Linked DNA regions of Sus scrofa. The protein of the gene in region 3 binds, or shares a complex with, the protein of the main gene of each other region. Links are inferred from orthologs where the notes say so. Each region holds a gene or a part of one and is shown on either strand. Other genes may lie near its edges. The genes, in order: AP2A2, STON2 and EPS15.

Region 1 (3,536 bases), on a different chromosome or scaffold from region 3:
GGGGTTGGCACCAGCTTAACCCCGCACGGCCTCTGCTTCCTGACCACACACAGGCCCCCGCCTCTGACCACGCGGGCCGAGGTCCACAGCTCCGCAGCCTGCAGCGGGGACTCCCACATGTGAGGCCGCTGCACAGGGAAGAGACCGGCTCGGCTTGAGGAGCCGCTCCGCTGGCCCACGGCGAGCCCCGCCGTCACTAACCGGCGCCCGTCCTGGGCCTGAGACTCAGAGAAGCGTGAGGTTAGGTACACACGTGGTCTGGAGCCACCAGGACCCCTCCCCACTGCACATGAAGGGGCTCGGACGGTTGCACAACCCCCCTCTAGGGGGCGGGTGCTGGGAAAAGGAGGCGGGGTCCCACCCAGCCAGGCCACACGCTCTCCTCGACAGCCCTCGAAGACGCGCGTGGGGCGAACGCCTGGGTTCAGACCTCGGCCCCCAAGGCCCCGGCACTGTGCTCACCCCCAGAGCCCGGAGGACAAGGCCTGGGCCGCACGTGGACCCGGCAGCCCCGCCCCTTCTCCCACGTCTCCCACACCCGGCGGGCGCCGCCCAGCACAGACAGAGCGCCCGCCTCTCTGCTCAGGGCTTCAGAGATGAATTCTCAGCAGGACAGCAGCAGCACCTCAATAAAACTTCCAAAATTCTCATTTTCAAACTTCTAATTTCCCTTTAATTTGTAGATTTAACCCCAGAACTGTCCTGATTTCCATCAAAGTCCACCCCAGGATCCGTGCCCCTCGTCCTGGCTGGCAGCCGGCTGAGTCCAGGCCGAGGGGTCTCTTCGTCAACCGCACAGGATCCCACCCGCCCCGTCGGGGACGGGCCGCGGCAGCGGGGAGGGCCTGGGCTGCGACACTAGACGAGGTGTTTACTCGCAGCACGAAGACGGGGTGGAGACAAAGAAAAATGCAGAGCCGGCCCGACCCTCTGTCCTCGCTGATTAAAACTGTTCTGAGAGCAGTTCGCACAGCCTCTGCGAGACCGTCTCTCTGCTCGTCCTCAGCGTGAGTCGGTACATCTGAAACAGAGGGCACGGCGGGTCAGGGCAACAGAGCCCTCAGAGCCCCTGCTCAGCCAGCCTGAAGACGCCCTGGTTCCACGCGGCACCACGCTGGCTTTGGGGAGCTGGTTTACAGGCTGGACAACAAGGGCCTGGGCACATGTGTACCAACCCGACCTCCGCGTACGCCTGGTGGGCTGTGCGGCAGCGCCCTGGCTGGGAAGCAACGCAGCGGCTTCCCGTGAAACGACCACACGCATCCAGAGTTCTCATCGTGGCTCAGGGGTAACGAGCCCGACTAGGATCCAGGAGGACATGGGTTCAATGCCTAGCCTCGCCCAGGGCGCTAAGGACCCGGCGTTGCCGTGAGCTGTGGTGTTGTCACAGACGCGGCTCGGACCTGGCGTGGTTGTGGCTGTGGTGGAGGCCGGCAGCTGTAGCTCCGATGCGACCCCTCGCCTGGGGACCTCCAGATGCCGCAGCTGTGGCCCTAAAAAGACCAAAAAAACCCAAACCAAAACAACAACAAAGCACAACGACTGGGGTGTACTTAGCAGTTTCCTCAAGGGGCTTAACCTGGGCTTGCAGATTTGGCTCCAAACGCAGCAGGCACCCAATCTGGCTGGTTTTGGTGTGTATGATGCCTGCACCCACAAAGTTTGCAGGGTTCGGATCCACGTCCTCCAGGAGTGCAGAGCCAAAGCCAATAATCTGTGCGCAGAGTTGAGGGTCAGAGGGGAGCTGGCGGCAGCCGCAGGGCCCCGGCCGGGCCCGACCCCGCCCGTCCGCAGCGAGGCGCTACCTTGGCTTTGGTGACCTCCGTGTCCATCGGGTGCTTCGCTCGGAAGATGCTCTGCACCTCCTGCTGGGGACTGCGAGGGACAGAGGCCGCGCCGCCAGCTGAGGCCGAGACCCAGAGGCCCCCCACCCGCCCGGGGACGGGCCGGCCGCTCACCTGCTCAGCTGCTTCCAACGTTGGAAGAAATCCTGAGAAGCCATCTCTGTGGGCTGGAAAAATTTGTTGAGTGTGATTGGCAGCTTAACGGACACGTTCTGAAAGGTTCCCCCGTACCTGCGAGCAGCGAAGAGACAAGATGCAGAGAGCAGGTGGCCGCAGGAGCCTCCAGGCCGCAGCGCCCACCCCCCCCCAGGGCACCAAGGGCCGAGAGCTCTGGGAGGGCGCCCCGAGCCCCGGGGACGTCCCGCCGACCGCGGACAGCGCCACCTCTTCCCCGTCCCCGGCAGCGCACACCCGGCAGCTCCTCGTCGGCTGAAGCGGTGTGGGTTTCTTCTTCCCAGGAAAAGACTCAAGAAAAGAGTCTGAGGAGTTCCCGTCGTGGCGCAGTGGTTAACGAACCCGACTAGGAACCATGAGGTTGCGGGTTCGATCCCTGGCCTTGCTCAGTGGGTTAAGTCTGCAGCGTTGCCGTGAGCTGTGGTACAGGTCACAGACGCAGCTCGGATCCCGTGTGGCTGTGGCTCTGGTGTAGGCCAACGGCTATGGCTCCAATTCAACCCCTAGCCTGGGAGCCTCCATATGCCGCGGGAGCGGCCCAAGAAAACGCAAAAAGACAAAAAAAAATAAAATAAATAAGAAAAGAGTAAGACTACAGGATAAAACACAGGCCTCACCCGCCTCGTCCCCTGAACTATGCCAAGCACACTAGCTTCTCATTGCTGTGCGTTTAGGGCGTGAACTTCAGGTCGCTATGTAGTAACGCTTGAGAACATGCTTTCCCACAAAACCTTACAAACGTCCAACTGGGAAGGCTGTTCACACACTCTCCTGCCGTCACTTACATGACAAGAACACGGAGCTCCCGTTGTGGCTCAGGGGTTAAGAACCTGATGCTGTCTCCCTCAGTATGCAGCTTCGATCCCTGGCCTCACTCAGTGGGTTAAGGATCCGGCGTGGCCGGAAGCTGAGGTGCATGTCACAGATGAGGCTCAGATCCCGTGTTGCTGTGGCTGTGGCGCAGGCCGGCAGTCGCAGCTCCAATCGGACCCCTAGCCTGGGAACCTCCATGTGCCGTGGGTGCGGCTCTAAAAAGAACAAGAAAGAAAAAGGACAGGACCAGACAAGCTACAAAAAATCATCTAGGAGTTCCCGTCGTGGCGCAGTGGTTAACGAATCCGACCAGGAACCATGAGGTTACAGGTTCGGTCCCTGCCCTCGCTCAGTGGGTTAAGGATCCGGCGTGGCCATAAGCTGTGAGCTGTGGTGTAGGTCGCAGACGCGGCTCGGATCCCGCGTTGCTGTGGCTCTGGCGTAGGCCGGCAGCTACAGCTCCGATTCAACTCCTAGCCTGGGAACCTCCATATGCCACGGGAGCGGCCCTAAAAATGGCAAAAAGACAAAAAAAAAAAAATCATCTAAACAGCATGCAGGCTTGAAGGGCAACCACGTAGGCGTGCGCAGACAAGGCGCTGGCCCCGGGGCAGCCGACCGGCCGCTGCCCACGGGCCTGCGCCTGCCCCAGCCCCCGGCCCCGCAGGGTGGGCCCCTCGGTGTCTCACCTGGAAGCACTGGGCC
Region 2 (4,090 bases), on a different chromosome or scaffold from region 3:
GCTGCCCATAAGTTAAAGTTCCAAACCCCTGGCATACACCCCAGGGCCCTGCATCATCTGCCTCTGGGACACCTCCCTGGCCTTGTTTTCATCTGCACTTTCCCTCCTAATCAGCCATGCCTCACTTCTGCAGGAGGCTTATACTTTCCCATACCGCTGACATCAGCTTTGGCCACATGACTCACCTTGGCCAAAAACATGAGAGCTAGTGACATCTGCCAGTTCCAAGCAGATGTTAAGTGCCATAATAGTTTTGTTCTGTTATGTTCTCTTTTTTCCCTTTCCCATAAACAAGATGAATATTGTCCCAGAAAGAGGCTGTTTCTTAAGCCATAATGGGTCCCCAAATGGAGTCAGATAAGCAGAACCAAGAGTGACCTACACTGGACATGCAGCATGTGTGAGAAATAACTCTTGGTGGTTGAAAGCCACTGAGATTTAAGGGATGTCTGTTTATTTTGCTTAAGATGACTATTACAACACTTCTGATATCTCATATTCTCTCTGTTTGGAATTCTCCCCCCTCTGCTCTACTCTTCCTTCCAATCCCACCTCAACTGGGTCTACATGAGAGAACTGCTCATCATTCTACTCTCAGCTCAGCTGCATGCCCTCCGTCAAGCCCTACTTTCTTTCCCAGGTGTAAGTGGTCACTCTCACCTTGTAAGACCTCCTCTGTATGCTACAGATCTATACCTACATCCTTGGAAAGGTGCTAGAGCCTTCCTATCCATTAGCGCCCTCCTTGGAACAACTTCTCCAAAAAAAATCTGAGTCCTCATTTTACAACGTGAGAGACTCTGGCTCAGAAAAGCAAAGCAACTTGTCCAAGTTTCCCAGCCATCAGTTACTGAGAGAGAGTTCTCACCAGGTGCGGGTCTGGCTCTGAACTCAGCAGTCTTTCCCCTGCCACACGTGGCTCTCTCCCTCCTCCACCGTCAAGCTTCAGCTCCTCCCACTCAGGTGGAAAGAGTAGGTCTCCTTATCAACAACTGAAAGGGCTGGCGAATTAATTTGACACTTGAAAGATTTGCATCTGGAAGTGCGCTTCTTTCCCTCTGAGATGATAATCACTTTCTCTAAGGGCAAGTATTTATTTTAAGGCTCTGGCAAGTGTGCTGGAGACCCTAGGAGAACCAGGACATTCTGCCTGTGCCCTTTCCCCAGGTCCCAGGCTATGGAGGTAATGTGGTGGGAGACAGGTGGTTCCCCACTAACATTACTCTTGAGAATCTTTGGGAAGGTCCTTTGGGGCTTGATAGGGGGTAGGAAGCAAGTAGCAGAGGGCTCAGAAATCCAAGCAAGTCTGATACTTAATGATATTCTAGATTTTCAAAAGACAAATTCTTGGGGCTAAGCGTTTACTTAACTCTTCAATTAAGTGACACGGTGACAAAGAACTGAACCAGACCACCCGGGTCAGAAACAGGAAAAAAAATCACCTGAAGTGGCAACTGCAATTTTAGGTTTCTATGAGCTGCCTGTATTTTGTTTTGTGGTGGGACTTTTTGTTTTTCTTCTTTCTCTCTCTCTCTCCCTTGTTCTCCACTCTCTACTTGTTTAAGGGAGGAGTAGGAGTTATAAGAACCTTCAAAATTTACCCCCAAATCAGCCACACTAGTGAGATTCAATAAAGCACCATGATATACTTTTTACATAATATTCATACCAATTTTCTCAAGGGCTACAGAGTTTTCTCAGTTTCTATTGGAATCCATTTATCTCTCTCACCATTCCAATGAAGCAGTTTTTTTTTTTTTAATCCCTCAAAATCCCCAGGATTTTGTACCTTTAAATGATACCGCCCAGTAACATTAATATTGCTTTAAGTGTAAAAAGCTGTTCAGAGCTCCAAACAGTCACTGGTCCAGTTTGGACATGTCTTCTTAAAAGACCATCCACTCCGAAGAATAAATAGTAAGAGCCAGCATTTACTGAGTATTTAGCACCGTCCTCAGTGTTTTTCAGCATTGGCTCATTTAATTCTCAAAACAACGCTATCAGGCAGGTAAAAGCATTGCCCTCACTTTACAGATTAGAAGAGTCAGGCCCTGCCTAAGAGACAGGCAGAGGCCACAGTTAATGATTCACTCACAGCCCTTTTAGTGGAGGCTGCAACACACACACACACACACACACACACCCCTACACACATCCCCACCCCCCAGCCCCCACACAAACTCTCATGGTCTCATCGAGAGGCGGGTGTCCTGCAAATTGCTTGGCAACGCGAGGAGGAAACTCCATCCAAAGCCCGGGTCCGCTGGGTCCAAGACGCCTCTGGGCGCTGTCCAGCGGGCAGCGCGCCTGAGAGGCGAGGCTGGGGTCCTGTCTCCGAACACCCCGAAGGTGGGGCAGAACGCCAAAGCCGGGATTTCAGGCTCAGAGCGTGGAGGAGAAAAGCACGGTCCGCAGGGACACCTGTTGTCGCCTCCCTACTTGGGCCAATGAAGACGGCCGGGGACCCAGCTCTCAGGGAAGACACCCATAGGCAGAGTCTGTGTAAGGGTGCGGGTGTCGCAGGTGTCTTGTCTTCCCCAATCCACCCCCGCCGCCTCACCTAGCTCCCTCTCACACCCGGACGCCGGGGGCTGGTGGAAACGCGTCTCCCGGGGGCTCCGGCCGAGGCTAGCCCCGGGGCTCTGGGGGCTCTGGCAGCACCCGCGGCGCTAGGACCTAGCGGCCGGCCCGACCCCCGCCCGCTCCACCTGCGGGGCCCCGCTCCCAGGGCACGCTCGCCCTCCCCCTGTGGGGCGCCGGCGAGGTTACCTGAGACGCGGCCCGCTGTTTCCCGAGCGTCGGCTGGAAGGTCGCCGCGGCAGAGCGAGCTGGGCTGGTCCGAGGCTCCCCGTCCGCTGCGCTGCTGTAGCCGCGCTCCTGGCAGCCCCGCGCCGGCTCGGGAGTCGGAGCTTGCTCTGCGCCCGCGGACTCCCGGCACCGTTCCAGCCGTTCCTGATTGGTCGCAGATCACGCCCGAGCCGCGCCCTGATTGGGCAGCAGGAAGCCTGGGCGGTGAGGCGGGGCGGGAGCCGACAGGACCTGCTCTGGACAACCCTGCACCGCACCCTCGTGTCCCTGCTGAACCCCGAGGTCGGAATCCAGACGCTGAGACCGGGATCTGCTCCTCCGCGCGAGTGGAGTCCAGCACCCAGCGGGGCGCAAAGCGTCGCTGCGAGTAGCACGGCAATGGCAGGGAGTGGGGATCGTCTGGGAGTCTCTCCCACACCCGGTGCCAAGCTGGATCGTGGAAATCATTGCTTCTCCCGTCTCACTCCTACGTAGGGTTTTGACTTCACGTTCATTTAATATTTTTACTATAAAAAGGGCGTAGGACACAGGGCAGTGGCTTGTAAACAGTGGGCGCCAAATTGTATTTGTAGACTCAGATAGTACTTGACACACGATCTTTTGTGGTCCAACCAAAACTTGCAAAGGGTAAGCGACTTATCCAAAGTCCTAATCACGTTAATAAATTATTAAGAACGAGAAAGACGGCAAGTGTTGTTTTATGAGGAATTTATGCCTAACTAGGGAGATAAGGCTGAATAACAACAATATTAATAACCCTAATGTTTTCATGGCGCGTAATATTTACCAGTTTTCCAAGTACTTTGCATGTATTAATTCGGGAACACAGGAAACAGCTGTCATAAGGATACCCACGTGTCCCGTGTGGACGCGTGGTGTCAGCTCTGAATATGGAGATTTTCTCCTGGAAGACACACTCAGTCTCTTCACATTGTGAAGGAGGGGCACAGGTTAGAATGGAGAGGGATTGTGGGGAATTAAAATTGATCCCATCTTCCATTTCTTCTTCCATTTCATAGTCTTTAGGCCTCCCAACATTTTCTCTCACCTGCACGGAATCTTTCTAAGGAATAAAAGCAAGCACCATAAATTAGGATGCCCCTAGGACTTTGTTCTACCACTCATAAAAAGACCCCCCCCCAAAAAAAATCCAGACAATGAGTAGGAAAAAAACAGTACAGATTCTATTTTAGGACCTTTGACTTAGGTTGCAGTAATGTCTTCTTGACAGCAAGTATGCAACCGGGTTCCTACAGGTGTTTCCCCCTAGTTCTACTGTCCT
Region 3 (3,645 bases):
AGAGGCTTCACAAAAGGACACTTAACTCCTTGTTTCACCTAAAGGACTCTGGAAATAGTCTTGCTACTTGCTAATTTTTTTTTTCTGGAAACATGTTTAATTAGTTACTAAAATATGATTTAATTTTAAAAATTAATGCAGTCTACAGACAGTGAGTCTATAAAACTAAATATTAAAACATCATTTTAAAACATAGACGTTCTTAAGGTGGATTAGGAGATTTAAAAAGAGGAGAGGGCTGCCATTTTAATCTGACATAAAATAGTTACTATTTCCACTTCGGCGAGCATCTTCACATGATAAATCATCTTCAACTTAATCCCACTGGTGATTTCCTACCTCACCCCAGCCCTTCAGGTACAAAAAACTATGAAGCAAAGAATATGCTATACATAAATTTTGCTATATGCAAAATAAGAGGACTACGTATACTAAACAAGATGTGGATCTAATCATCTTAAAAAATGTATTATAAAGATTTTGGCTGGCTATTGAAAACTCTTTGACCCCGTCTAAATAAAATCATAATGCTGATAATTATTAGGTCAAGGAAATATTTTTATTCATCCAAAACAGCAATCATGGCAGATTCTAACTTAAATGCTACTTGGTTTCAAGTCCTCTCAGATAAAAGAAAACTGTAATAGCATTAGTACTATAAAATGAAATGAAAGAAACTGTCAGGCTTTTTGAAAATGGTAGCTTTTTCCCTAGTTACCATTCCCTAATTCTAGGGCATTAGATGGCCTATGAAACTTATAACACTTAACAAATCTTTCATAATGAAAAAATGAAGATACTTTATTATGAGCTGCTTAATGCTATACTACATTGAGATTCTGGAGTATGAAATAAGCAAAATGCCTTAGCTATTATTCAAGACTCATTCCAACCATATTTAATAGTTAAGATATTAATATCACACAAATACCAGAAGGTTTTTTTTTTTTTTTTAAGAGGATTATACTAAGAGTAGCAATTCTGGATACTCTGCTTATAACAATTTAAATTCCATCTAACAAATGTTAAATCATTATAATTCCAACACTTCATTTTCCAATAGTCAAAATACTGATTCCTAGCCTGTTCCTTCATGTTCAAAAGAAGCCACTGAAACTTAAGAGTTCAGATTCAAAAGCTGGATAGTCCAGCCTAGTTCTGTCTGCCTTAGCTGCATGCAGATTCCTGCCTACCTCCTTTCTAACTAGAAATGGTTGCAGGTTGGGTGACCCAATGCTGCGAAGGGGGAGGCATTAGGCAGACTGTGGTCAAGAGTCACCTGGCCTTGAGATCTCTTATTTCCAAAATCATCTCAAGGGCTTAAGGTGTTAAGCAGAGGAAAATGGCTTTGTTATAGAGAGTGATAATGAAGGTTATTTTCCCTGAAAAACATCTGGGAAAGTGAAAGTTACTCTAAGAATAGTATTAAAAAGAAAAAATTTTGTTTTTTAATCTAAACAGTGATGGAATACAGGTCATTGCTTAATACGGACTGACACCACAGTTGGTTCCCCCATTTCTGTGATCTTAGAGGCCTATGCCCTTATCAGAGCATCCTTTCATTATTTTTACTGGTCTGCCTATTTTAGTCAGCTCTGGGAGGATGAAGAATAAATACGGAAGGCTAGTAAGTAAGTGCCCTTCAAATAAAAGACTGTTTAGACCTTGACTATCATATTTATTTAAATAAAACCAACATTTACTTTTTAAAAACACTATTACATGAAACCAGAATTTTACTTTCTGTTCAAAGTATTCCTGGTCCTATCTCCTCATATAATAAAAGCTGCTGACTGGTTTCCACAAATCATCAAGGCTTCACACATAAACACACATACATGGTTACAAATACACAAACTCATTATTGCTATTATGCATCCAGAGGGCATACAGCAAATGACTCTTTAATGGTTCATTATCCATAATAATTTGCTAAATGGTAATTGTCAGAATTTTATTTATATTGTTTACCAAGACTAAGAGAAGGGTTTTATAAAATAACTGGAATATATTCCAGGAATTAAGACTATTAAAATCATTTGTGCAGAGAAGTATTTTTAGAATAATCAAACAGGTTTTTTTTTTTTTTGATTGGGGGAAGAATACAGATTATTTTTAATATGCTGGTAAATTTAGCTGAAATAATGCAAATTTGGTAGATTCCAGAATAATCTCTGAAAACTCTTCGAACTGAAAATGGAAAGATTTTTCCCCAATCAGCCCATTTGCAGTACTTACAGCACTGAAGTTAGCAAAATTGCTTGGGTCAGCCTCTTTATTGGTAGTGCCAGTAGTAGGAGAAGCAGTGAATGGATCGCAAAACATATCAGGATCTTTTTCTTTGGGGCTATCATTGCCTGGGAAAGGCTGAAATGGATCATTCAGTTTAAAGGAATCAGAAGAATCCAATTTGTTGATGGGTCTTTTCCCTGGATCAAAATCATTACAATTAACTCAACCGGAAAATACGGCAAACACAAACACACAAGAACATGAACACAGGGAGCATTAAAGAACTAGGGGTGGGGAATGGAATCAGTACCTAATAACTAAAAAACTTTTTTTTTTTTTTTTTGGCTGCACCTGTGGCATGTAGACGTTCTGGAGCCAGGGACTGAACCCAAGCCACGGCAGTGACAATGCCAAGTCCTTAATCACTAGGCTACCAGGGAACTCCCTGAAACATATTCTTAATATGGTCTTAAATGGCCACAACCAAGAGTCTGTCCTCAAAATTGTCACAGACAACCTGGTACATTCTTTCCAGCTCATGTAGCTAAATGGAAAAAATAGTAAAGGGGGAGGCAATGGGCCAGTAATCTTACTTGCCCAGAGAGTTATCCTTCTCGTTCACAAAGTAGCATGTTCCCAAGGAGAGTGAGAGGAGAGGATAAAACAAGAGGAAAATGACAGAGAATAATGACAGAAATGGCCTCTGCCATTACAACCTTTGCCTGACACAGGTATCCTTTAGTGGTACTAAGGCCAAATGATCTTTTTAAAAAATGCCACTATTCTTCTGATTTTTCTCTGGATCTATATGCAACACTTGGGAGCATGATATTAAAAACCACCCTGGCAAAATACACCTACTTCTTGCTATCTAGAATATTTCAAACTGAAGAATACACTTGATCTTAGCCAAAAGGCTGAGAAGCAATCATACTGAAGAATAAAGAGAATGTTTGGAAGCCCAGGGCCTAAATCTTGGTAGTTGTCGATAAACTAATCTTTGACCAAACAACAACATACTGTTGCTCATGAATTCATCACCATTTTCAAACAACGTTTCTAATTTTAAAGACTTAAACTTAGTACTTCTGAAGAAAGGATAGTAAGAAAAGGTGTTAAGATATACTCAAATCTTTTTTTTTTCCCTTCTTTTTTTCTCTTTGCCTTTTCTAGGGCCACTTCCCGTGGCACATGGAGGTTCCCAGGCTAGGAGTCTAATCGGATCTGTAGCCGCTGGCCTACGCCAGAGGCGCAGCGATGCCAGATCTGAGCTGCTGTCTGCAACCTACACCACAGTTCACGGCAATGGTGGATCCTTAACCCACTGAGCAAGGCCAGAGATCGAACCCGCAACCTATGGTTCCTAGTCAGAGTTGTTAACCACTGCGCCATGATGGGAACTCCAAGACATAC

What was found.
Region 1: the proteins of EPS15 (region 3) and AP2A2 are in contact, whole or in part, in a crystal structure (PDB 1KYU), measured with the Mus musculus proteins. The link is inferred for Sus scrofa from reciprocal best matches to the Homo sapiens genes EPS15 and AP2A2. Residues at the interface, in NP_031969.1 of Mus musculus: Asp629, Pro630, Phe631, Lys632; in XP_006536218.1 of Mus musculus: Phe442, Phe443, Trp446, Lys447, Asp487, Pro488, Val494, Arg511.
Region 2: the proteins of EPS15 (region 3) and STON2 are in contact, whole or in part, in an NMR structure (PDB 2JXC), measured with the Homo sapiens proteins. The link is inferred for Sus scrofa from reciprocal best matches to the Homo sapiens genes EPS15 and STON2. Residues at the interface, in NP_001972.1 of Homo sapiens: Leu139, Gly148, Lys152, Pro153, Val154, Leu155, Leu156, Asn157, Ser158, Lys159, Val162, Asp163, Leu165, Gly166, Arg167, Trp169, Glu170, His176, Gly178, Met189, Val192, Tyr193, Leu196, Glu197, Lys198; in NP_001353779.1 of Homo sapiens: Trp309, Arg310, Ala311, Thr312, Asn313, Pro314, Phe315, Glu318, Gln321, Asp322, Gln324, Pro325, Ser326, Ile328, Asn329, Pro330, Phe331, Phe334, Phe335, Glu337, Gln338, Glu339, Arg340.

What each region holds. Positions count from the first base shown.
Region 1 is NC_010444.4:625,207-628,742, reverse strand, and holds the end of AP2A2 (AP-2 complex subunit alpha-2), read right to left. Parts: intron 2,076-3,536; coding exon 1,959-2,075; intron 1,876-1,958; coding exon 1,806-1,875; intron 1,715-1,805; coding exon 1,580-1,714; intron 1,022-1,579; coding exon 944-1,021; 3' UTR 645-943; downstream 1-644. UniProt on the Homo sapiens protein: Component of the adaptor protein complex 2 (AP-2). Adaptor protein complexes function in protein transport via transport vesicles in different membrane traffic pathways.
Region 2 is NC_010449.5:104,186,800-104,190,889, forward strand, and holds the start of STON2 (stonin-2), read right to left. Parts: upstream 2,937-4,090; 5' UTR 2,770-2,936; intron 1-2,769. UniProt on the Homo sapiens protein: Adapter protein involved in endocytic machinery. Involved in the synaptic vesicle recycling. May facilitate clathrin-coated vesicle uncoating.
Region 3 is NC_010448.4:160,786,190-160,789,834, reverse strand, and holds part of EPS15 (epidermal growth factor receptor substrate 15), read right to left. Parts: intron 2,430-3,645; coding exon 2,239-2,429; intron 1-2,238. UniProt on the Homo sapiens protein: Involved in cell growth regulation. May be involved in the regulation of mitogenic signals and control of cell proliferation. Involved in the internalization of ligand-inducible receptors of the receptor tyrosine kinase (RTK) type, in particular EGFR.